7 separate regions of the Mus musculus genome follow, and all the other regions are reported to be linked to region 6. The links are microRNA targets in miRTarBase. Many come from high-throughput screens and were not tested one by one. Region 6 holds a microRNA gene; each other region holds the end of a gene's coding sequence.

The links. The annotated mature microRNA mmu-miR-17-5p reads CAAAGUGCUUACAGUGCAGGUAG and lies in region 6 at 2,074-2,096, shown strand. An mRNA with a match to its seed (bases 2 to 7 or 8) in the 3' UTR can be bound and repressed. Matches are read on the target gene's strand: a 7mer-m8 pairs with bases 2 to 8, a 7mer-A1 pairs with bases 2 to 7 and ends in A, and an 8mer does both.
Region 1: miRTarBase lists Sall3 as a target of mmu-miR-17-5p. Seed matches in the 3' UTR shown: 7mer-m8 at 1,595-1,601.
Region 2: the mRNA of Adam10 is a reported target of mmu-miR-17-5p. The part of its 3' UTR that is shown has no 7-base or 8-base seed match.
Region 3: miRTarBase lists Shtn1 as a target of mmu-miR-17-5p. Seed matches in the 3' UTR shown: 7mer-m8 at 1,521-1,527.
Region 4: the mRNA of Extl2 is a reported target of mmu-miR-17-5p. The part of its 3' UTR that is shown has no 7-base or 8-base seed match.
Region 5: the mRNA of Dgkd is a reported target of mmu-miR-17-5p. The part of its 3' UTR that is shown has no 7-base or 8-base seed match.
Region 7: the mRNA of Mcl1 is a reported target of mmu-miR-17-5p. Seed matches in the 3' UTR shown: 8mer at 936-943 and 7mer-A1 at 515-521.

What each region holds. Positions count from the first base shown.
Region 1 is chr18:80,966,723-80,970,103 of GRCm38, reverse strand. It overlaps Sall3 (spalt like transcription factor 3), which reads left to right. Exons shown (of 3, transcript NM_001369133.1): 3 at 200-3,107. The coding sequence ends at 631. Among named protein-coding and RNA genes, the nearest start is that of Sall3, 19 kb to the left of the region's middle.
Region 2 is chr9:70,777,411-70,780,791 of GRCm38, reverse strand. Adam10 (a disintegrin and metallopeptidase domain 10) reads right to left here. Exons shown (of 16, transcript NM_007399.4): 16 at 563-2,792. The coding sequence ends at 2,698. Among named protein-coding and RNA genes, the nearest start is that of Adam10, 100 kb to the right of the region's middle.
Region 3 is chr19:58,971,980-58,975,360 of GRCm38, reverse strand. It overlaps Shtn1 (shootin 1), which reads left to right. Exons shown (of 17, transcript NM_001114312.1): 17 at 153-2,003. The coding sequence ends at 375. Among named protein-coding and RNA genes, the nearest start is that of Eno4, 30 kb to the right of the region's middle.
Region 4 is chr3:116,026,967-116,030,311 of GRCm38, forward strand. Extl2 (exostosin-like glycosyltransferase 2) reads left to right here. Exons shown (of 5, transcript NM_001163514.1): 5 at 47-2,050. The coding sequence ends at 532. Among named protein-coding and RNA genes, the nearest start is that of Extl2, 20 kb to the left of the region's middle.
Region 5 is chr1:87,942,021-87,945,401 of GRCm38, forward strand. It overlaps Dgkd (diacylglycerol kinase, delta), which reads left to right. Exons shown (of 30, transcript NM_177646.3): 30 at 363-2,469. The coding sequence ends at 452. Usp40 (ubiquitin specific peptidase 40) reads right to left here. Exons shown (of 32, transcript NM_001198573.1): 32 at 3,101-3,381. Among named protein-coding and RNA genes, the nearest start is that of Usp40, 65 kb to the right of the region's middle.
Region 6 is chr14:115,041,611-115,044,991 of GRCm38, forward strand. It overlaps Mir17 (microRNA 17), which reads left to right and starts at 2,061; the gene lies at 2,061-2,144. Mir18 (microRNA 18) reads left to right here and starts at 2,241; the gene lies at 2,241-2,336. Mir19a (microRNA 19a) reads left to right here and starts at 2,390; the gene lies at 2,390-2,471. Mir20a (microRNA 20a) reads left to right here and starts at 2,547; the gene lies at 2,547-2,653. It also overlaps Mir19b-1, Mir17hg and Mir92-1.
Region 7 is chr3:95,660,257-95,663,585 of GRCm38, reverse strand. Mcl1 (myeloid cell leukemia sequence 1) reads right to left here. Exons shown (of 3, transcript NM_008562.3): 3 at 407-2,879. The coding sequence ends at 2,763. Among named protein-coding and RNA genes, the nearest start is that of Mcl1, 3.2 kb to the right of the region's middle.

The DNA of each region.
Region 1 (3,381 bases), not on the chromosome of region 6:
CCGGTTTCGCTTTTTATATTCACAGAATGGAATACTGTGTGTCTAATAGAAGGTGCTCGGGGAGTCTCCCCTAACTGCGTTCTGCTGACCCCAGACTAATACTTAGAATGTAGGCCCATGGGCCATTGGCGTCAAGCCACAGCCGCTCAGAGCTCTCCACCTGCTTTACTTGTGGCTTGTCTCTCTGTCTCCCCCACAGGTACACATGGGCACCCACATGTGGAACAATGCACCCGCGAGGCGTGGCCGCCGCCTGTCTGTGGAGAACCCCATGGCTCTGCTCGGTGGCGATGCTCTCAAGTTCTCTGAGATGTTCCAGAAGGACCTGGCAGCTCGAGCGATGAATGTGGACCCCAGCTTTTGGAACCAGTACGCCGCTGCCATCACCAACGGGCTGGCCATGAAGAACAATGAGATCTCTGTCATCCAGAACGGAGGCATCCCTCAGCTCCCAGTAAGTCTAGGCGGAGGTGCCATCCCGCCTTTGGGTGCCATGGCCAGTGGGGTGGACAAGGCACGCACTGGCAGTAGTCCGCCCATTGTCAGCTTGGACAAAGCGAGCTCAGAGACGGGAGCCAGCCGGCCATTCGCGAGGTTCATTGAGGATAACAAGGAGATTGGGATCAATTAGCAGGATACACTTAAGACTCCACCCTCCTCTTCTGTCCCAAGTCCACTGCAGAGTTGGAGCGTCAGGCTTTGGACCCCACATGCCTAGGCTCTCATTAATACTTAATACCCACGACAGAAAATATCTGCACCGTGTGGCTGCTGCAGGGAGCCCTGGGGAGCGAGGCGCAGTACTGCAGTGGGTTTGACTCTTCTGAAGGTAAGAACTCTGCAACCTTTAAAGGAAATCTCAGACAAAAGCTCATGTGCTTGGAAAAAAAAAAAAAGGAAAGAAAAGAAATGGCCTTAGGAACAGAAAGAGTCAGACCATATCTACTTCATTTCTCCTAAAACCTAGTGACCCCTTTGTGTAGGGGAACGGGGTCCCCTGTGGTAATCCCGTGAGCTGCATTCAATGGTTTTGTTCAAATTCTGTAGACACTTGAACTCTGTTTTAGGGACTCTCCGTCTTGAAGAAGCAGTTCAGTGCTCCAAACGCTGTGTATAATGACAGTCTTTTTGTCTATAGTATTTATGTTAAGATTATGCGGGTAACAAACAATAAAATAGCCCAACCTTAAATGAAGATTTTTGTATCACAGAATACATCTGGCTATGTGATCTTTTTTTTTTTTTTTTTAAAGCGAGATTTGCTTCATTATAAATAAGTGGATTAATTCAATGCAGGCAAAATCGTGACGTTCTATTGGGAAAGATAGCATGGTTTTTGTGTGCAAGTACCTGTCAGTAACAATCGCCCCCCCCCCACCTTTAATTTAAATGTTTGTAGCTGCTATGTGAACAATTGTTCTCTAGTGTGGTCTGTAGCCCCGCGGTCGACTGGGAACAAGTTACAGACAAGCATCAGCGTAAAATGATTTACAGCATTATAAACAGTTGTGAGTAAATATTTCACATTATCAAAGCTGTATAATAAAGAGGTAATGTTTGTATAATGTGGTTGCAAATCTTAATTTATACAATTGCACTTTTAGTATTTTGTATTAGGGAAGTTTGTCTATAATTTGAAAATTAAAAAAAAAGATGTAAAGTATTTTATAAATAGTACTTCAGTTTAAAGAAAATGGAGGGGGAAAAAAAACCCATGTCACAGTTTATTGTTTTGTCTTAAAGTCAAACATGAGAAGTCTAAGCCGTTTAAGCAGAAAAGAAGCCACCAGGACTTGTCAGCACCTCAATAAAATAAGACCTGCCATTTCTTAAATTAACATGATTTATTTAACTTTTCTACAAAAACCTCTTGAAAAAACTGTGAGCATCATAACAAAACCCTGACAAATGACTCTCAGTCCCTGACATAGAAAGGCAGGGGGACAACAGAGCACACGTTGCGCAAGTGTGACTTCACCATAGGCTCCCCTCTGTCTCTCTCACACACACGATACGGGACTGCCTCATAGCACTGGTCAGGGCACAAAGGAGACCGGGATACCGAGTGTCTGGCAGTATAATCAGTCATAACCATGACATTTCCTAAGTTCATGATTTATTGTCTTTCCAAGTGCAAACGCAGTGTGGTGTCCCGATTATTCCAACCCCGATCTTTTGCTGATGACCTACCTGTCTAAACTGTATCCACTGAGCACAGAAGCCAGAGGCTGGGAGGCAGGGTGGACTGGAAACTTGAACGTCAAGTGTTGTGTGTACTACCTCATTTTTGTGCATTTGCAAGCATGCTGGGATGTGACATGACGGACTTCCAACAAAAATTGCTCAAGACATACTGTAGGTAGCTGGGTACCTCGGCAGGGAGCTGTCTGCGCTTGAAGGCCAAACCAGACAGTGTGAGACAGAAGGATAGAGCAGTCACCTCATACAACTTGAACCAACAGGAAAAGGCGCTGCAGGGGAATGACTACCACAGGCCTGTGCCTGAGCAGAGAGCATCTGGGCTCATTAGCTGTTCCTGACTTTGGAAATGAACACAGGTCTCTCTGGCTCTGTTTTCCATGTAGTGAGGTAGAGCATCTACAGGCCATGCCATCTCTTGCTGGTGTGGGGATGGGAGCAGGTGCTTCAGCTTTGGGGAGATGAGACAGGGTGGCTTAATGTTGCCCTGCTTTAGCAGTTGAACGTCTTGTTATTTATCTGTGTCCTCTTGGTGTGTTTTCTCCCCCTGTCTCGGTTGGTACCATGTTAGTGTTCTTTCTTCTCTCAAAAGGATGTGTATATAACTTAAGAAAAGAGAAATGTAAAGTGTTATAAACGAGACGGCTGATGAAGGTGCAGAGACCACCCCCATTCTGTGTTCAGGGCTGGCTGTCCCTCTGCGTGGTGAAGAGAGACACTATTTTTATACCGCAAAAACCACGCGGGGGTGAGGGCCTCCCAGAACCAGCCAGGGTGTTCGGGAGACCCGATATATTTTATGATTTAAATCTTGTGGCTTGACACATCTACTGACTGAAATGGATGTTGTAGACTTAGGTTACTATTTTTGTCATACAGAACTGAATAAAATGCGGGGTGTCCTATTATTTCTGAATCGTGTTCCCTGATTCTTCCTGGTGGAGTCTGCAGTGCTGGTCGGTGGTGGTGGATGGCTGTCTGTGGCGTTTTCCAGAGGGGATGTCAAACAGGGGTTGGCAGGTTATAGTTAAGCAATATCTACAAGTTTTTTTATCTTGAATTAGTTTTTTCAGTGCTGGGCATAGAACCCAGGGCCCTGTAAGTGCATGCCGGACAAGCACCTTGCCTCTGGTCCAGATCTCCCCTCCCCCTAAGTTTTAATTTTGGATGTTGCTTTACATC
Region 2 (3,381 bases), not on the chromosome of region 6:
GGAAAATGTTAGTTCAGAATTTCAAATACATTTTCATTAGACCAAGTCTTCTTTTGTGTGGGGGAACTGACAGGGGAGTTATGAATTGAAGACAAGGTCCACGTGCATGCTAGGTAATTTCTTTACCAGGATTGTTTAGGGAAGGAATCTTGCATATAGCCTAGGTTTACCTTTTCTCTCCAGATCCTCCTACGTTAGCCTCTACAGTACTGAAATTATGGATAGGCACTACCACATCCAGATAAATCAGACATTAATAAAAGCACTTAGCACCCAGACAGAACTTTGAGAACACAGAAAGAAGACTACAAGTTTCCAGTTAGCTTCAGCTCTTCACTAGGACAAGTCCTGGACACTGCTTAGAAACAGTGAGAAGCCGTTGTGTTGAGTAACTTTCAACATACAGTGTACATGTGATAATGGCAATCAACTGTGCACCATGGCTCTGGACTGTAGCAGTGATGCCCTCACTTGCATGGAGAGACCTTTCTGCTGAATAGTCCTTCATTCAGCATGGTGGCTACTTCTGATGTTTCTGAGTCCAAAGAGCATAGACCTCAAGTTGATTTCATCAAGTCTATTTATTAATGCATTTCAAGTTTCAAAAAACCTTACATCTTTGCACAATACTTTATTTTTTGCAGGTTTTAGTAAAAATTTCCAAAGTGAACAACAAAAAAAAGATACTGTATAAAACACAGTGGACATTAAACTGACAGTAGTATTAGATCTCACTGGTCCTGGTCCTTTCATTTTTTAACCACATCTTGATTTGTAGTGGAAACAGTTCAGTGCATGTATCTCTTCAGAAAACATTTAACTTAGACTCAAAATAAAATAGGGCAAAACCCTACCACAGGATAACATTACAAGCAAAAAATGTACATGTTCCAAAGTCTACCACACTCAAGAAGTTACTAAGAACTCTTGCAGAATAAAAGTCACCATTTTAGAAATGCAAATCCACTTCCAACCTTTGCACAGTCCAAAAACAAAGGCATTTGAATGATTTAAAGCAGTGTCATACACAGCTACCTACTTGTTGGGTTAGAATTATTTATAGTCTATCTGGGGTTTCATGTACAAAATTTGTCTCTAAATCATGTACAAAAAGCTGTTTTGAAAAAAGTCCCGCGTACTGTACAAGTTTACAAGGAGAGATCCCATTGTTTCTCTAGCGGTTTTGGCCTTGCTGGCTCGCGTCACATTGTGAGTGATTGTGTAAACCTTAGACTCTTAAGAAAAAAGGAAAAAAAAAAAAAAGCCAAACACAGTAATCTTGTCAACCTTCTCTAGATTGCCTCCTATGTAAAGCCAGGAAGATCACTGCTGCTGACTTCTAATTTAAGTGATGTAGCTGGAAAACAGAAGCAATGAATATGTCACAAGCTTACATTTTTTAATGCCCCCTCCATTTTCTGCATAGCGATAAGCCTGTTAATACATTAAATGCTTTTGCTTTCTCTTTCTTTAAAAAAGCCAATATTTTATCTGCTTAAAAAAGAAGTTTGTAATGGGACACTGTGCTGTCTACCTTCATTGTTGCTAAAATGTTGGGGGGAAAACAACGTCGAAAAACCTATCTACAATTTCAACTACCTGCTGAGCAAATCACCCATCTCTAGTGGTTACCAGTGATCAGTGACAGTGCTGAAGAACTAACTGTCCAAGTATTTCAATGAAGACACTGATTTTCTTTTTCATATTGGATAAAAACAGAATTAGCAGGCTTGAAGTATATGGAATACACAAAGTAATAAGCAGGCTACAGATGAAAATTAATCATTTCCAACATAATTCCAAGGCATGAAAAAATTCACCTAGCAATTTAAAAATGGAATTGATTTAGAAAGTATAAAATACTAAGCAGAAATCAGACATCTACAAAAAGAGCTGACTCTGAAGCCAAATGCTGTTGCTGTCCAGTTTGCAAGCCATCAGCTGCGTTCTTCAGCACAGCCTCTCCTGCTCACAGCAGCCATGTAACAAGGAAAAAAATGTATGTAAGAACCAACTCCACCATAAGAAAAGGGAAAATGATTCTCATTTCAAAACTGCCTGCATAAAGCATTACAGAATCCTGGACCACTGCACACCACCATTCTCTGTTATCCTGAGTATGTCAATTAAACAGTAATTTTTCATTAAGAGCGGAAAAATTTATAATACAAAGAAACATCCATATTGCAATTTCTGTTTACAATTGCACAGAGAAGTACAGTGTACGTAAGAAATACATGTCTGCATATAACAAGGTATGTACATTGGCAAGTGATGTATCCAATGTTGAGGTGGTCGAGCCTCCCAGCCTTGATTGGCAGTTGAAAAAAATATATTTCAATTTGTGATAAAAGTTTATCGAGAGCCAAGTCTGTCTGCAAGTGAAGAAAATGCAGCAACGAAGAACAGGGAACATGGGGCACATAATAATATTCTAAGACTTTGTGCCATTAGGTTAAAAATATCTGTTCATAAGAAAATTGGGTTCCTTTTCCATCCCACCCCCACCCCCAAAATTGGAATTTTCAGGCTTTAAATTTTGAGTAATTCCACCTGATCTGAGGACATGATCTCTTGCCATTTTTCTTCAACTATTAACTGTAAGGGTATCATTTGCAGATGATGACTTAACAGGTTTCTCTTTGGAGTGAAGTTTTCCCACTGTAGGCACTAGGAAGAACCAAGGCAAAAGCTGCATTAGCGTCGCATGTGTCCCATTTGATAACTCTCTCGGGGCCTCTGACGCGGGGGCTGCTGAATGGGCTGTGGCGGTCTCCTCCTCTTTAAAGTGCCTGCAACGAAAGCAAAACAGCTCCCTGAGCACCACCTCCTAATCTTCAAAAGGGAAGCACTCTTTCACCAAGAAAAGCTATTTTTTGGCACTGACCAGCAGAAATAGGTACCCCGTAACACTTTTCAGTTTTCTGGTGGCCATAATAAAATAAAAATAAATTTTAATATTTATTTTATCTAGGCCAATTCAAGTTAAAAATACCAACTGTAGCATGTACTCAATATAAAAATTACTAAAATATTTTACTATTTTATGTTGTCTTTAAGTCTGATCCATATTTAATATTTAACAGCACATCTCAGTGGAGATGGGGCACATTTCAAGTACTTAAAGAATTAGACTGACCAGTCAGAATTATTTTAGCTTTGAGAGCAGAATCTCTGACTGGAGCCCTGACAGACTCTTGAGGCCTGTCTGCACAGCAGGATGGGAAGTCATTCACACAGTCTATCATGAAGACTTTAAAGCCGTCCTTAAGTCAGCACTTTTATGAAGATTTAACAAGTGACGATCATTTTCAGAGGTGTCAACACACAAGTGCATTATCTGCTCCAATGAAGAAGGACACCATGGCAACCATGCCTCAA
Region 3 (3,381 bases), not on the chromosome of region 6:
TCAAATGGCTGGCATCCCAAAGACCACGCGTTGTGCATGTCGGTTAGACTTAGGACCGTTTCTGTTGTCATTTTTCTGAATCCAGGAACCTGAAATCCAAATGTTTTCTTTCTTCTGCTTAGTTGTTTTTCTATCTAACTCTCTTCTCACAGGCCTCCCAGTAAAGGTGGATACAGGAGAAAATGTGTGGGCAGTGAAAACCAAGCTGAGCCAGTTGTAGTATTAGATCCTGTTTCCACACACGAACCCCAAACCAAAGACCAGGCTGCTGAAAAAGACCCAACTCAATTCGAGGAGGAGGGAGGTGAAACCCAACCAGAATACAAAGAAGACAGCGGTGGGAAAACAGGAGAGACGGACAGTTCCAACTGCTGATCTGAAACCAGAGGCTGGCAGGTTGGTGGGGCCTTCTCAAGGAGCACGTGGCTCGTCTGCGTGTAACCGGCAGGAACTGTTGGACATTCCTTTGTTCTGGCCACACACTTCTTTGCTGGTATCACTTTGTAAGTAGCAATCATAAGTAAGCTGTTTAGCAAAATGCATCTTCTGGGTAGTTTTTAATCTTTACAGGAGTGAGGGTTCTTTCCGGTTTCTATATGAAGTATGACTTCCCTGAGGCGGTGGCGGAACTCAGAGGTTGGTGTCTTTACAGGGAACATATGTACCCCTCATCAAATTATTCACGGGAAAATTCAAGGTGGTTGCTGGTAACTGTATAAACAGAGACCACCAAACTTAACAATTATCTTAAAGGCACCCTTTAATCCAAGCCCTAGGGCATGGAGAGACCAAGGCAAGAGGATCACGTGAGCCTGAGTCTTAGTTTGGATCACACAGTACAACTCCATATAAAGAACATATAAAGAAAAGAAGGCCCGCAAGAGTCTCTGGGGTCTGGTCTTCTGATGGGAAACTGCAGCAGCCTCAACGTCAGTGGGTCCTATAGCGTCTCTGTTTTGAAGGGTGCGTGAGACCTTCCGTCTCTGAGCTCAGGAGGTGGCATCATGGACTCTTAGGTCTCAATTGAACACAGTTGACTATTGTGTGGAAATCATGACCCTGTGTCCAAGGCTTTACAGAGTCCTTCAGGGTGATGTCTTGGCAGCATCAACAGAGAATTGGCTTAGAGGGACGCTCAAACCTTGAATTTAACAGGGATTCCTCGGTAAGCTACTAGTTCTGTTCCATGAGTTAACTGTGTTTTCCCACACATTCACGTGCCACAAGTACCATATTTTACACCAGCTCTCACGCACAGTGAAGATAAGTGACAAGCACACATTGTTTTTCTCCCTTCACTGCGGATCTATACTACATGGGTCTTTTCTTGTTTTGTTTTGTTTTGTTTTGTTTTTTAGAGGAAATTAAGTGGTAGTTTCTAAGAATACAATGTTTCACACTACCACGGTGAATAAATAGAAATGTAATCAGGGATTTAAAAAAAAAAACTTATGCAGGTTTTCAAAGTTGATTGTTTCAAAATTGGTGTTTATTTAAAATAAGTGGTAATGTACTTGAGTGCACTTTTTATGATAATGATTCAGTAATGGTAATTTTACTATTAAGGAAATGGAAAGGCTTAGTTTTGTTAGCATGACTCGGCATGTAGCTGTCAGGTGCTCTGCACCTGAGGGCAAAAGAAAATGATAACAATTGCAGTAGTTGTATCCTATTGTATTTTTGCACGTGTGCTACTAGCGTGGGCCTGGGGAGGTGGGAAGGCAGGTGAGGACACTTCCTCGGCTTGGGGACAATTCTCTTTCTGTAGGGTCAATGGGCTTGACTGTTTTCCCTGTCTGTCAGTGCTGATTTTATATCCCTGTCAGTTTACTCATGGGGAATTAAAACGCGATTTTTTTTTTCAACCGTGTGTTTCTCTGACTGAATAAGACTGCTAAACAATATGCTAACTGCTGGCAGATTAATTCTTTTAGATGGGTTCTGTTATGCTGCAATTTGAATTCTCCTCAACACGACATTAAAAGAGACACTCGACGGTTTCTAATTAAGGGTCCGCTGTGGTTATTGGCATGTTGAAGTTCTCCAGCCTAGAGGGACACCTTGTTTCTTTGAGGGGCATGGGATTCTGTTAAGCCTTCTGGCCCTCAGCTACCTCCCCAGCCTTGCCACTTCCAATGGAAGAACAGTGTGTGCGATAGCACTGAACGGCTCTCGTCCATGCTTCTTGAGTCAGCCACCGAGTTGCTGCTGGGTTGCATACGCTTCCAGGACAATGAAGACAGGCATACCACCGTTCCATGTCACATCATCACACATAAGGATGTACTAACATGGTTGAAAAGCAGCCTTACTTCCAGCAGAAGTTAAGCACTGGGTAAGATGTGCTGGCTGGACTGGGTATCTATCTATCTATACCTGGCATTTTGAAGGCATCTTCTTTGCTTTTCATACAGTTGAAAATGTGCTTTCCTTCCCCATGACCACAAAGCTTTGCAAAGGACTGTGATATGTAAGTATTTGATGTAGGCTTTTGTTCACCTTTTTCCTAGTTTTTTCTATTTTTCATCTCAGCTTTAAGGTTCTGCCCTTCGCCAGGGTGGCTTGTTAACTCCGAGGTAAGCTCTTAACTGTGTGCACAGAAGGCTAGCCCCCTCCTGTGCACCTGACTCAAGTTTCCTTTTCTCTAGCAGGACATTCATTCTGTTTTGAAAGTATGGATTAGGTCTCTCTGTTCTAGCTCTCTTGACTAGTTCTGACACTGTCTCGCCACAGTGAGCAGAAAGCACACAGATCCTTTGTACCTTACTAAAGGAGGGTGTCTCTCCTCTCTTCATTAACACTCTCACAGCCTTTACGTCTGAGGAGTCCTATCTACACAAGCTCCCATCGTAGCTGTTAGCAGTTTTCCAACTCTGGGACTCAATTGCTCTGAGTTAAGTGAGGGTGTTACAGCTTGGCCAAGTAACTCCTTCCTTACCTCCAGTGAAAAGGGTGGTCGAATGTGGGAAGGTGATCGTGGTTTCCAGACCACTGTGGGTTGTATGTTGGGCAAGTGAGAGCCTGCACCACAGTCCTCAGCTCATCTGGGAGTGCTTCTGCCAAGGCCCGCTGTGCACGGGTCGCCTCCGCCAGCAAGCAACTCCAGTGGTTATAGATAATGTTATACATTTTATGAGGAAGGGGCGGTGGGGAGAGGGGGGAGGGGGAAGGGAGAGAGTGCACGAATATGAAAATGAATAAAAGGAAAGTCCTCTGAGAAAAGTCCCTACCCATTGGTGAGCACAGACCTCGGGTGAGCTACTGTGATCAGAGTGCATTCTGGGCTTGGGCTGGCATCAGGGTGCTGACCTGGTCGGTTGTTTTGCTGTGGCTTCATTGGTTAGAGTTATATCCGTCCCAAGGCATACTCGTAGCACTTGC
Region 4 (3,345 bases), not on the chromosome of region 6:
CCAAAGAAACACCACACTTAACTGTTCCTTTTCCTCCTCTTTTCAGCAATTTCCTGATCAGATCATAGGATTTGTACCTAGAAAGCACGTCTCTACTTCCTCCGGGATCTACAGTTACGGAGGCTTTGAGCTGCAGACACCGGGGCCCGGGAATGGCGACCAGTACTCCATGGTGCTCATCGGAGCCTCCTTCTTCAACAGCAAATACCTGGAACTCTTCCAGAAGCAGCCTGCAGCCGTCCACGCGCTGATCGATGAGACGCAGAACTGTGACGACATCGCTATGAATTTCCTCGTCACCAGGCACACTGGCAAGCCTTCAGGGATATTCGTGAAACCCATAAACATGGTCAACTTGGAAAAAGAAACCAACGGGTATTCCGGAATGTGGCACCGGGCGGAGCACTTTCTGCAGAGATCCTACTGTATAAATAAGCTCGTTAACATCTACGACGGCATGCCCTTAAAGTACTCCAACATTATGATTTCCCAGTTTGGTTTTCCGTATGCCAACCATAAAAGTAAAATGTGAACCGGAAACAAAGACAAGCCCAAAACACCGCGCTGGGTTTTCAGTGGCTTCTCCATGCTGTGTGTTTTTGGTTTTATTTTTGGTTTTTTTTTTCAAGCAACACTATGAACTTTTATCTAGTCCATAAGTCTCTATAATAGAAACAAAAAAACCATATGCGGTACTTCTAGAATATAAAACACATGGACCTTCAAAAGCCAAGAAGTTGGCCTTACCGGGATAGGATTTCCTGTGAAGAGCTTTTGTCCAAGATGGTGACATTATTGTTTACATCTCGAGACTGCTCCTCAGTTTGTTTGAGCCCTGGCATTTGCCTCAAGGCCCTACAGCAAGCTGCTTCCAGAGACTCACAAGAGACAATTTTCAGCTTTTCGGTGAAGGTCGATTGTTTTTATTTGAAGCCTGAAATGCCTGCGGTATAGGGAAAAGCCATGTGAGGAGAGTTTAGTCTGAACTCAGTGTTGAGAGCCAGGAAAATTCCTGGTTGCCGGTGTCTTTCTGGTCCATCTCACAGAACTGACTGAGCCCAGCACGGTTCTAACGAAGCTGTCAGTGCTGGTGTCTCTGCTGTTACGCCTGTTGGTGACTGGGAGTGTAAGTTTTCATGGCTGACTGTTGTTTAATTGGTTTTTATTGGTTTGGTTTGGTTTGGTTTTTGTGTGAGCCTACTCTGCATGGATCACTGAAATGTGCCAGCCATGTTTCTTATATGTAACTTGTATGCAACAAGGAATCAGTGTGTCCCTGTAATCTGTCACCGCATATGACCTTGAGAATCTACATTAGTTCTTATATTTTACAGAATGTGTTGAATAATGAATAAATATGTATAAAAATAACTTCTGGAAGAATGGTTAAGTAGAAGCTAGCAGAAATAAAAAACTTTAGTATCAAAGATCTTTATTATTAAAGCATAGGCTACCTTGTGAGTATTTAATAACTGTATTGCACAAAAATGTTTCCATACAGAACCCAGGATTTTGTTAGGATTTTTTTTAAGTCCCAATTCATGACGAAATTTCAATTACATGGTTGTTGAAAATAAAAAGGACTGAGCCATCATGTGAGAAGGCAGTGGGATGCTCTCAGGAGTTCACTGTTCCTACCACACACCTCTCGCTGTGGGAGCCAGTGTCTGTGTCTTGCCTGCTGTCCTTTGGTTTGACCTTGTTCACCACTACTGAAAAGAAATAATCTATCAGGCCTCTGTGTATCACTTTTCTTCTTCTCTTCATATAAGGCGTGAAAATAGGAGAATACTGACCACCCAAGTTCCACTGCAAGACCTTCCCGCCGTCAGTTCAGCGTCTGTTTGTCTAACAATGTATGTGTGTGTCTTAATGCAATCAGAAATATATTTCATTTGATCCCATTAAAACTTATGTCAGTTACATGCTTTGTCCACATTTGGTAATACACTTTTGCTTCTTGGTTGTCCACATTTGGTAATACATTTTTGCTTCTTGGTCATCCACTGTCAAATAAATAAACGTCAGCTGGCCACTGTGTTAATAACTGAGCGGGTGCTCTGGTGACGTGTTCCGTGTTTCTCTGTACTTGGCAGTACCACTCACTGTGAAGCTGAAAACTTGATGTGTTCACCAGGAATAAGTTTCCTATTGGGAAGATAGCCCTGTGTTTGATTGAAAATTTTAAATAACCATGTGAATTGTACTATTTTCTCTCATATTATGAATCATCAACAAAAATACTTTTAGGTCTATATAAGAAAGATTTCTACACTGTGGCTAGACCTCCTAAGACCATCTTTCCATGAAAACCTTTTACTCGTACTCCACATGATCCAAAATCACTTGTGCGGGCTCAAAACTACACCTGTGTAGCAGTGTAGCTCAGGAGTGAAGCCTACAGGCTCTGCTATTAGACTCCGGGACGAAATCCTTGCCAGACATCACATTTGAAGAGCCCCTGTTTGTCAAAATGTGATTGTTTTATATATATCCTAAACGTTGGAAAACTAAGGACAGGTTAATATTCATAGGTTTTATTAAGAATTGGTTTTAAATAATAAGAGAGGTGGTATGTCTGACTAGAGTCATACGTCATAGTCATAGCGGCTTCCCCATTTCAGATGTTCAAAGCGTTAAAGCTGTTAGGTTGCTCTAATGCTAGAAAACCCAACATCCACAAAGGGAGATACGGAGAGCACTGTCTGTGCACAGTACCCAGGAACCAAAGGCTTGTTCCTTGTTTTCATTCTTTATATACTTTCCCCCCTGTGTTTTGTTTTGGAGACAGTTTTATCCTTTAATGTAGGCTGGCCTCAAACTCAAGGCCCCTCCTGCCCGAGTCTCCCAAAATGCTGAGATTAGAGACATGAGACATCATCACACCTGGCTCTTCACATTAAAGCCACAGTACGTATGTATTCTATCAGTTTGGACACATTTACAGCAGTGTAAAGAAATCAAAGATCACCCCTGTAATCCCAGCACTCAGATGGCTGAGGGAGGAGAATTCCTGTGAAGATCAGCCCTGCTACAGAGTAAGACCCTCTCTCTCTCTCTCTCTCTCTCTCTCTCTCTCTCTCTCTGTGTGTGTGTGTGTGTGTGTGTGTGTGTGTGTGTGTGTGTGTGTGTGTGTGTGTGTTGGTTAGAGGACAACGTTTCAGAGTCAATTAGATCCTCCCACAATGTGGGTTAGAAGTATCAAGCTCAGATGCTTAGGCTTCGTAGCAAGTGCCTTTCCCACTAAGGCTTCTCCCCAGCCCTGAACAGATGCTTCCGTAGCACCAGGACTCCCCAGCCTGCTCCCTTGTCATCCCACTGTGAGGAGACCAGGACTCTGTACTC
Region 5 (3,381 bases), not on the chromosome of region 6:
CTTGCAGAGCTAGCTTGGAGTGGGCATTGCTTCTGGTTGTATCCAAAGGCAGAAAATGGTCACAGGGACCTCCTTAACTGGTAGCTCTCCCAATGCCACCCACTTGCTGTCAGGCCTCTGTTCTTTGTCTGCTGGCTGTCCTTCACAACAGTAGTCTTTGTAGGACACAGGAACCATGCATTGGGTGTCTGCATGACTGACATTTGTGCTGATTTCCTTCCTATTTCATCCATTGATCATTTTCCTAATTTGTACTTGAAAAGGAGACTGAGAAAGCTTTTTGGTGGCAGCCCATTTGTCAGCCCTCTGGTCTGAGCCCTCTTCCAAATATCCATGTTGCCTGTCTTCCTTCTCTGTTGCAGGACCTTGGTGTGACCAAAGTGGGCCATATGAAGAGGATCCTTTGTGGGATCAAGGAGCTGAGCCGGAGCTCCCCTGCCGCCGAGGCCTAGCCTCTGCGTTCTCTGCCTGCATTCTCCGCTCCTCCCGAGACTGAGGCCTAGGGAGGACACTGCCAGCACTCAGCCCCTGGCCTTTCTCATGGTGCTATTCCTTTTGTTAGAGACAGGAAGCCCAATGCCCGTTGGTAACAGCTTTGGAGTCTTGAACATACCAACACAGCTACCTTTGAGAGAATACTTTTCCTAGCTGCAGTCATTTGGGGCAGACTGTGTCACATCCACTTGTGGCTCTTGCTAACCTGCCTTGTGGGCCACAGGGAATGTGGTGAATGAAGCCTGACCACCCAGCACCTGGCATCCCTGCAGAACCTTCTTACCTGGGGCACATGCTTGGATTGTGCTGTGCACTCCTTTTCTGTGTCCTTTATTGGTCACACTGGGTAGTACCATCTTCTGTCTCTATTGGCTCTCAGAAACAGAGTTGGGTCAGGCCTCAGTGGCCCTCACCAGAATGTTCTCTGTGCCTGCTACCCACTCTGTAGTTCTTCACAGCAGCCCCACAAAGGCAGCCCACTGCTGTTGCCCCCTTTGTTCACAAGGTTTCATTGTTTTAAAAAACAAGCTATTTACTTTCCTGGTTTGAAAATGGCATGGATGTGTTTCCAGGCTTGTTATAGTCTGTGAGGAAGGAGGAAAGTCCTCCTGCTTAGGCCAGGTCTCAGGACACTTGGTTCTCCCCACTCTTGTCCTGTGGGCTGTGAGCATGTGGACAGCCCATGTATCTCCTCAGGATGCTACAGGTGTCTGCAGTCCAGTCTGGGGCAGATAAGGATTGCCACTAACTCAGCATTCCTGTGGAGACCAGGCTTCTTGGATGCTGGAAGTGACATATGCCATGAGAGAATGAATAGGGGCAGTCATCTGGAGCCATCTTGGGTGGCTTCTCATCTGCGCTGAGGTTTGTTGTCCCAGGAGATGCCTGTTAGGCCTCTTGACTGTTGCTGCCTTGCTACTATCTGCTGGGCAGAAAGCTCTCCAAGGCCCAGACTACATCCTGTGGGCAGTTCCCAGGTGAGGATGTCCTGAGTCTTCACTGCCACCTACTTACCCTTCTCTACTTTTGAGATAGTCCTCCACAGGGACTGATAGAACAGCTGGAAAGGGAGGGCTGCTGGTCTGTGGTCCTCACCAGAGATGACAGGTCTGTGGGCTCTGCCGGTGCTTCCCCATCTGACATGGGAAGGAAGTACTGAATTTGGGCTCTAGGTAGAGTCTGCAGCAATTCCAGCTGGGAGGCAAGGTTGACCTGCTGTTTGTTCTGAAGACTAGACTCCTTGTTCATCTTCCCTTTCCTGGTGACAGATCTGAGAGCCCTGGTGAGCAGAGTGGAGTATGGAAAGGGCCTACAGTGTTGTTCCTGCTGTGTTCTGCCCCAGGCCTAGAGTTCCACCCATTGTCTATCAGCTGTGGGCTGGGAGAATCTTTGCCCTGTGTGTGGTTGTTGCTGCCTCCCTGAATGGAAATAATTTTCACTTTCCACCTGGGATTCTATTTTCCACTGAGCAGTCAATGTAGACCAGAATGTGGAAGCAGGGATAACCTCAGATAATTCACAGAGCTTTTGCCAGCCAGACCAGCTGAAACTTAGGTGACTAGGGTCCTGAGAAACAACTGAGGGCAGTGGCCTTCTTGAGAAAGCTTCATGTTTGGGTGAGGGTGTTAGAAATCATTATTGTCAACAAAAAGTGAAAGGTCCAGTCTGAGTGCTGGAGGGACCTGCCAGGTGGCCATGCTCTCCGCAGATGTGTTCTGGCCATCACCACCCTGCCCCAAACCCATAGCAGTTCTCTAGAGTTCTGGAGAGGGATAGAATGAAGGATCCCAAGGAATTGGAGTAAAGGTTTTGTGCCTGCAGGTGGGGCTACCTTAACCCCTCATATTTATAATCTTAATTTATAGTGACCATCTGGAGCAGATTCCTCTTGTATTGTTATGTACATAGTCTGCATCAGAGAGTTGTAAATAAGTTCTTCTGTGTATAATAAAACAGGCCTGTTTTTGATCTTCCAGTGAGCATTCCTGTCCTCATTTCTGTGCTGACAGTTGCTAGCGGTTCTGAAGACTCGGTTGCTGACTTGGTGGCTATAAAGCAGAACAGAGCTGTTATATTCCAAGGGTCTGCTGATAGGCAGTTCAGCCAGTGTAGCTCTGGGTTAGTCACTAGCAACAACAAAAACTTCTGGACAGCAATCGCCATTAATGCTTCTTGTCAGGGTGCCGTCATTCACCTTCACACATGGATGGTTAGCTTGCTGAACTGCTGTGCTCCTGCAGGTAGTGTGGCGGTTCTGGTATTGTTGAGTCTCTCGTAATTATATCTGACCTAGGGGGAAGCTAGCAGCTATGAAACCACTTTGGATTGCCAGGGCATTCATAACACCTACTGCAATGGCCCTGGCCAGATCCTGTCCCCAGAATAGTAAACAGAGCTACTCAACAGCCAGTTCTTCCAGTACACTTCCCCAAGAGTCTATATTTATTTTAAGCCAAAATAGACTTATTTCCAAAATCAGTGTTTCTAATATAACTCATGTTTGTTGAATGTCTAGAGAAAAAAGAAAGTTGTGCTGCTTGAAGAAAAAGTCACGCAAGTCCCTCAAGCAGCAGGACACAGACGGCAGGCAGTATATGACAGAGTTGAGGACTGCAACTTTAAGAATGTTTTATTTTTTTCTTTAATAAAGTCTTAGTGTTTTTCCCTGTTTTGTCTATTCTGTTCTCCAAACACACACACACACACACACACAAAAGAAACCAACCAGATAGGCCTGTCAACAGACTTAGGCTGCAGCTAGCACTTGAGGCATGTCTTCTGGCTCCTCCAGGTACTAAGAGGGTCAGGGAGCCTCTGGCTTCCTGAAAGCAAAGTGTCTGAGCTAGTACATCAGGACTGTATTGCCTGGGGACAAACTAAGGAACC
Region 6 (3,381 bases):
GCGGGCGGCGTGGGCGGGCGGCACTCGGCGTCCCCGAAACTTTGTGCGCGCCGGGCCGGGCTCCGGGACGCGGGAGCTGCGGGGCGACGGGGCCGGGGCGCCACCCCGCGCTCCGCGTGGGCTTTGTGTGCGGCCGCGTGGGCAGCTCCCCTCGCGGGCGAGGCGACCCCTGCGGTCCGCCCGGGCGGCCCGGGACGCCCCGGCCCGCCCTCGGGGCGGCGCGGAGCCCCGGACGGGCGCTGGCTGCGAGCGCGGCGCGGGAGGGCCGGGCGGGTTCGGCAGGAGCGGCGGCCCCGCCGCCATGTTCCTGCGGGGCGGGCTGCGCGCGCCGAGGGCGGGGGGGGGGGGGACATGGCGGCGACTGCGCGCCGCCGCCGATTGTTCCCGGCTTAGGCCTCGGGCCGCGTGCGGCGAGCGCCCTGTCCGCCCCCCTCCCTCCCCCGGAGCCTGGCCGGGGGGCGCGCGGGACACAAAGGACGGCCGGCGTGTCCGGAGCCTCGCCACGCTCGGGCCTCCGCGCCGCCGCTCGCCGCGCAGCCGCCCAGAAACGGGCGGGGGTTGGGGGGGGGGGGGAGTCTCCGCGTCCGGCGCAGCGCGGCCCGGCTCTGACCTGCCGCCCCCTGGCGGCCGCGCGGGGAACCCACAAGGGCCGCCTGCCCCCTTGTGCGACATGTGCTGCCGGCCCGGGCTCCATGAGCGTGGCGGGTACTTGGCAGGATCCCGTGTTCCCGTCCGGTTTTCTCTTGATAAGCTGGCGCGGAGGGGAGAAAACTGGAGAGCGCAGCAGGGCTCGTGGTTCTTAGGTGACCAGAGGGAAGAAAATGAGCAACGTGCCACGAGGATCACAGCAGTTGGGGAAACAACTCTTTATCCCGGCGTGCAGCCACGAGGTCCTGATTGGGGGAGGGGTGGTGAAGACTAGTCCTGGTTGCCCTTTTTCTCTAGCTTGAGCTGGACAGTAGAGTTCAGGCTTGCTGCTACTCATCTTGCAGTATTTCAGGGGCACATTAATTCGTGCACGGATGTGAATCTTGGTGGGTTTTCAACTTTATTTTGTTACAGCGTTTTCCACCCAATACATTGTTGCCCTCAGGACCTTGTGGTCCTGGCTCTCTCTTTTTTTTTTTTTTTTTTTTTTTTTTTGGCAAATGGATAGAATTGCCCCTTAGGAAGATTAAGAGAAGAGCAACTTGGAATGGGGCTCGGAAAGTGGTAGTAATTTTGAGCAAATGTGCTTACCCTTTCTCTGTCTTCACCCCACCCCCAACCCTAGTCATACACGTGGACCTAGCAGCACCCGAAGCATTGCCCAAGGATACTTGCTGAGAAGGAAGTTTGCCTGAGTGGGTGAGTATATTCTAGTTTTGTAGCTAAAACTTCTTTTGAGACCTTTGGTTTTCACTTTTGTCTTTGAGCTTGTACAACATTCTTGGTCTTTTAAGGTATGAAATAAATACAGTTTGAACTCTTGTCATAAATGAGTGAGCCACATTTTAACGTAGTAAATCTACAGTGGCTTTTGGACACTAACCAAATAGTTGTAGACCCTTCAAGTTGGAGTCATAGAGTATTTCTAATTTGGGGTGATACTAAGACTTTTTTATGTTTTATGACTAATAAACTTGAAAATGACTAAACAATAATCATTAATCTTGTCGAGTATCTGACAATGTGGAGGACAGAAGAAAGGGATTGCTGCCTGGTCAATGTGAGGCTTTCCTCTAAAGGTAGTACCAAGTCAGACTGCCTTCCTGATAACAGGTCTCATTTTGTAGGACCCTTATTGTGTGTTTTTTGGGGAAGCCTACTGTAAAAGCCAACATTTTAATGGGATTGTATCTTATATTTCTTTAAGGAGTTTTTTTTTTTTTTTTAAGGCTTACATGTGTCCAATTTGGAACTTCTGGCTATTGGCTCCTCCCCTCCCCCCCTTGGGTATAAGCTGTAATTGATGTTTGTGACAGAATTTAGAGCTTTGGCTTTTTCCTTTTTGTCTAATTATTTATTTCAAATTTAGCAGGAATAAAGTGAACCTCACCTTGGGACTGAAGCTGTGACCAGTCAGAATAATGTCAAAGTGCTTACAGTGCAGGTAGTGATGTGTGCATCTACTGCAGTGAGGGCACTTGTAGCATTATGCTGACAGCTGCCTCGGTGGGAGCCACAGTGGGCGCTGCCTCGGGCGGCACTGGCTGCGTCCAGTCGTCGGTCAGTCGGTCGCGGGGAGGGCCTGCTGGTGCTGCGTGCTTTTTGTTCTAAGGTGCATCTAGTGCAGATAGTGAAGTAGACTAGCATCTACTGCCCTAAGTGCTCCTTCTGGCATAAGAAGTTATGTCCTCATCCAATCCAAGTCAAGCAAGCATGTAGGGGTCTCTCCATAGTTGTGTTTGCAGCCCTCTGTTAGTTTTGCATAGTTGCACTACAAGAAGAATGTAGTTGTGCAAATCTATGCAAAACTGATGGTGGCCTGCTATTTACTTCAAGTGTTGTTTTTTTTTAAACTAATTTTGTATTTTTATTGTGTCGATGTAGAGCCTGCGTGGTGTGTGTGATGTGACAGCTTCTGTAGCACTAAAGTGCTTATAGTGCAGGTAGTGTGTAGCCATCTACTGCATTACGAGCACTTAAAGTACTGCCAGCTGTAGAACTCCAGCCTCGCCTGGCCATCGCCCAGCCAACTGTCCTGTTATTGAGCACTGGTCTATGGTTAGTTTTGCAGGTTTGCATCCAGCTGTATAATATTCTGCTGTGCAAATCCATGCAAAACTGACTGTGGTGGTGAAAAGTCTGTAGAGAAGTAAGGGAAAATCAAACCCCTTTCTACACAGGTTGGGATTTGTCGCAATGCTGTGTTTCTCTGTATGGTATTGCACTTGTCCCGGCCTGTTGAGTTTGGTGGGGATTGTGACCAGAAGATGTGAAAATGACAATATTGCTGAAGATGCCGATTTCCACTGTAAAAATGTTCACGAGCTGATGGAGTGTATGAACACATTCTGTAAACTGTGATTTCTATTGCTTTCGTTGGTGTGTAAAACGGGATTTTTTTAATTGAAATTTGTGTTTTTAAATTGTGGTTTGTTTTTACTGAATCATTTCATTTTCGTGTTTGCTCGCTGGATTTAGTAAGAAGTTGTGTGTGGGGGCTTAGGTGAAGTTAAACTGCCTTTTGAACCTGGTATGACTTCAGGTTTATTTTACTCTAAAACCCATTAACATGAGTTAAGAAAAATGTTACTTTCTTTGGATCTCTGTTTATTAAAGTGTGACAATTCAGATGGAGTGTTTTCTGATAAGATTATTCCTAATCCGTGAGTTCTTAACAGTTAACAGGTGGTGGCCACTCTGTTAATGTGCACACCCTGTAAGAAAGAACTATCC
Region 7 (3,329 bases), not on the chromosome of region 6:
CAAGGGGAGCCTGCACTTGGCTGGTGGGGAGCAAAGCTAATTTCTCCAAGTACACTGCCTGCAGAGGCAAGGATAACACACCCAAGATCCCAGCTTTAGCACAGCAGGATCACCATAGATGTTCAAGGTCAACCTTGACTAATAAATTTAAGATACAAGGAACTTGTCAATGAGAAAGCCAGGTGTGGTGCTAAGCATTCTCCCCCGCAACCCAAAAACGTACCGAACTAGTTTAAAACAGGAATACATTAACCACAAATTTAAATTACAGGTCCTATATTCTTTACCATAAGGCAAATCAATACTGAATTTTGCTTTTATTTCACTTCTATTTGTTCAACTGACTTCCCTAAAAGGCTTGCACAAGAGAGGAAGGCGATAAGAAAAGACCCATACCACACCTTACTTTGGGGGGAAAAAGGTTTATTTTCTCTTCAGAAGAAACAGAAGTTAGGGGAACATTTACAACCCACATTAACTTGCAGTTGGTCCTAACCCTTTCGGGAACAGCTGTTAAAGTGTTAGGTGCTCTACCAGAATGAAGGTGTTCACCCAGATAGAATGTACATGGAAGATGCTTGAAGACTGCATGTTTTTTCCCTGAGAGACGTGTAAGACAAACAGATTTTGCTGAGAGCCATCTTTCCAAGCAGCCCCTCCCTCTTCTCTGAAGGATGTGCCTCAACTATTCATCTAGTCAGCACTCAGACCACATGCTTCTTCCCTCCAAAGCAGCCCCTTGCCCAGCCACTGCGCTCTCCAAGTCTTCATGGCCCTGGACCTAAAATACCTACTAAGATCCTGTCTGTACTTCAGCTTTCATTTCACCCTTTGTGAGCTGGGAAGTCAGGCTCCTAGTAAACAAAACTTCCATGGCTGGGTTATGAGAGGCTAACCTTTTAGTCACCTCAACCTCTAGGGTTTATTCAACTACATAAAGTGCTCTGAAGTCCGAAGAGTTAAACATAAATAAGCAAACTATGATCAAGGATAAATACACAGGTACAAATCACTCCCAAGCTGGCAGGCAGGGCACTTCTTCCCTATTACATTCTTAGTCATTTGATTCCTGCCTATTTTTATCTGCAGCCCTGACTAAAGGTCACATTCTGAGGCTGAAGCTTTCAAATGACCCTAGCTTAAATACCTTCAGTTACCAGTGGCTTTTGTTAACCGAGTTTAGCAAAACCCAGTGTTTCTCTAAACTTAAGTGAACACAGTCATACTTGGAGCAAACTAATAAAAGTATAAACGTATAATTTCCAACCTTTGAAATTCCCAAGGGGACCTTTGATGTTTTTCTTACCAAAATAGACAAAGTAACAATGGAAAGCATGCCAATCCAAGAATGCCAATCCCTGGTCACTGTCGGTCACGGGGCTCAAAGAGCAAGTGTTCCTATCCTCTGACAGGAAAGCTGTGCTGACTCTGATTAGGATGGGGGAGGGGTTATTTAGGTTCAAAGTTTTGGGGGGGTTGGGGTGAGAGTTCTAATGCAGATAACTAAAATGGCCAGTGAAGAGCACAGGGAGGAAGTGTAGACGACTCTATAGGGGAACTGGGAGCATAACACGCCAACAGTAAAGGAAGTAAAGGCTACACCTAGAGACCAATACAGAAATTCAAAACAAAGCTTGGCAATCCTTAGTAGACAAGAAATACATATTTGTTTTATTGACACCAGGTATAAACTTGTGTTAAACAAGTAAACCCAGTGAATAGCACCATGGTTAAGACTCTAGCCTGCTTTACCATTTACAATTTTGTAAGTCAACAGGGGATCAAATGTCTTACATCTATCTACCTGTGATCTTTAAATACAAAAAAAAAAGATTGGATAATTAACCCTGCATAGTTATAAATCTATAACCAGTCCACACACACAACAGGCTCTGCATATACACTAGAACGGATGACAAAGTCTTAAAAAGCTGTAAGAAATACATTTCTAACTAGAGAAGCTGCAAATTTCAAAAGGGTATGGAAAAAAACTAAATCCAAGACTTCCCTCTTATGTTCAAAGAAATAGACTTTCTGTAAAAATATATACAATTTTTACAGACAAATACATTTCATAAATTTTCTTAAAAATCGAGGCTGTTCAGTTTTGTAACTAATTAGTGAACCTTAAGTCAAGTACTTTTTGGCCATCACTAGGCTAATAAACTTAAGAATCATCCAAACCAAGCCAAAGTAGACAGGGCTAAAAGTCCTGAGCACTTGGGACTTTGTCAAGCACACCCTGGACTGCTCAGAGGCCTCCCTTCACATTCCTGTACAGCACTGCAGCTTCTAGTCATCGTTTGGTGACTTGTAGGTTACAAATCCATTTTACACAAGTCACCAACGTTGTTAATTAGGGCTTCTCTCTCAACACTCTGAGCAGAGTAATGGATATTTATTGAGCTTTGTGACTAGCCTGATGACTGGCCCCTCTTCCATCTCTAGATAGGAAATCAAACCTTTCCATCCACCCCTTTCATTCATTCTAGAAGTCCTTCTCCATGGCCTCTCAGTGTTTGCTGAGAGGGAACTTTGCTTCATTCAGACAGTGACTCTTCCAGGGGGAGCACTTTTCCCATGTATTTATTCTTGTTAGCCACAATCCTGTAGCCACTTTCTTTTTGCTATGTTGCTACAGTAGAACTGGACTGTTAAAATCCTGGGCAGCTTCAAGTCCACCTTCATAAATACACATGTTTTCACAGATGCATGTAGTTTGGTGGCTGGAGCTTTAAGAGTCCCCTATTGCACTCACAAGGCTATCTTATTAGATATGCCAGACCAGCCCCTACTCCAGCAACACCCGCAAAAGCCAGCAGCACATTTCTGATGCCGCCTTCTAGGTCCTGTACGTGGAAGAACTCCACAAACCCATCCTAGAAAACAAAAAAGAAAAGCACATTTTCAAGTATGGGTTTCTGCTGTTGTAACACTACATACAGAGAAACGGTGAATTAAAATATCCCCCAAACAATGGTGAACCAATTACCTACTTCTGGGATGCAAGAGACACTTCTGGAGTTCTTTCCAGTGAGTAACCACACAACAGTTACCTTACAGCAGTTGTATTGCACCTCAATTATTTTTGCACAGACTGAGCAGGGCCCATAACCAACCACTCTTTGGATCCATCCCCATGTAGTATTTCTCCCATGGGTATTTCCTAATGAGAATGAGTGCACCTTACACCAGAGCTGGTGTATTTGGGTATTAACTTCTAAAATGCAGGCTCTACCCCTTATCCATTTGATTAAAATGAGGGGGATGTAATTTAGTCATCACAGGTGACTCTTACTTCTTCACGGTTTGAATCCACTGCTCTGAAG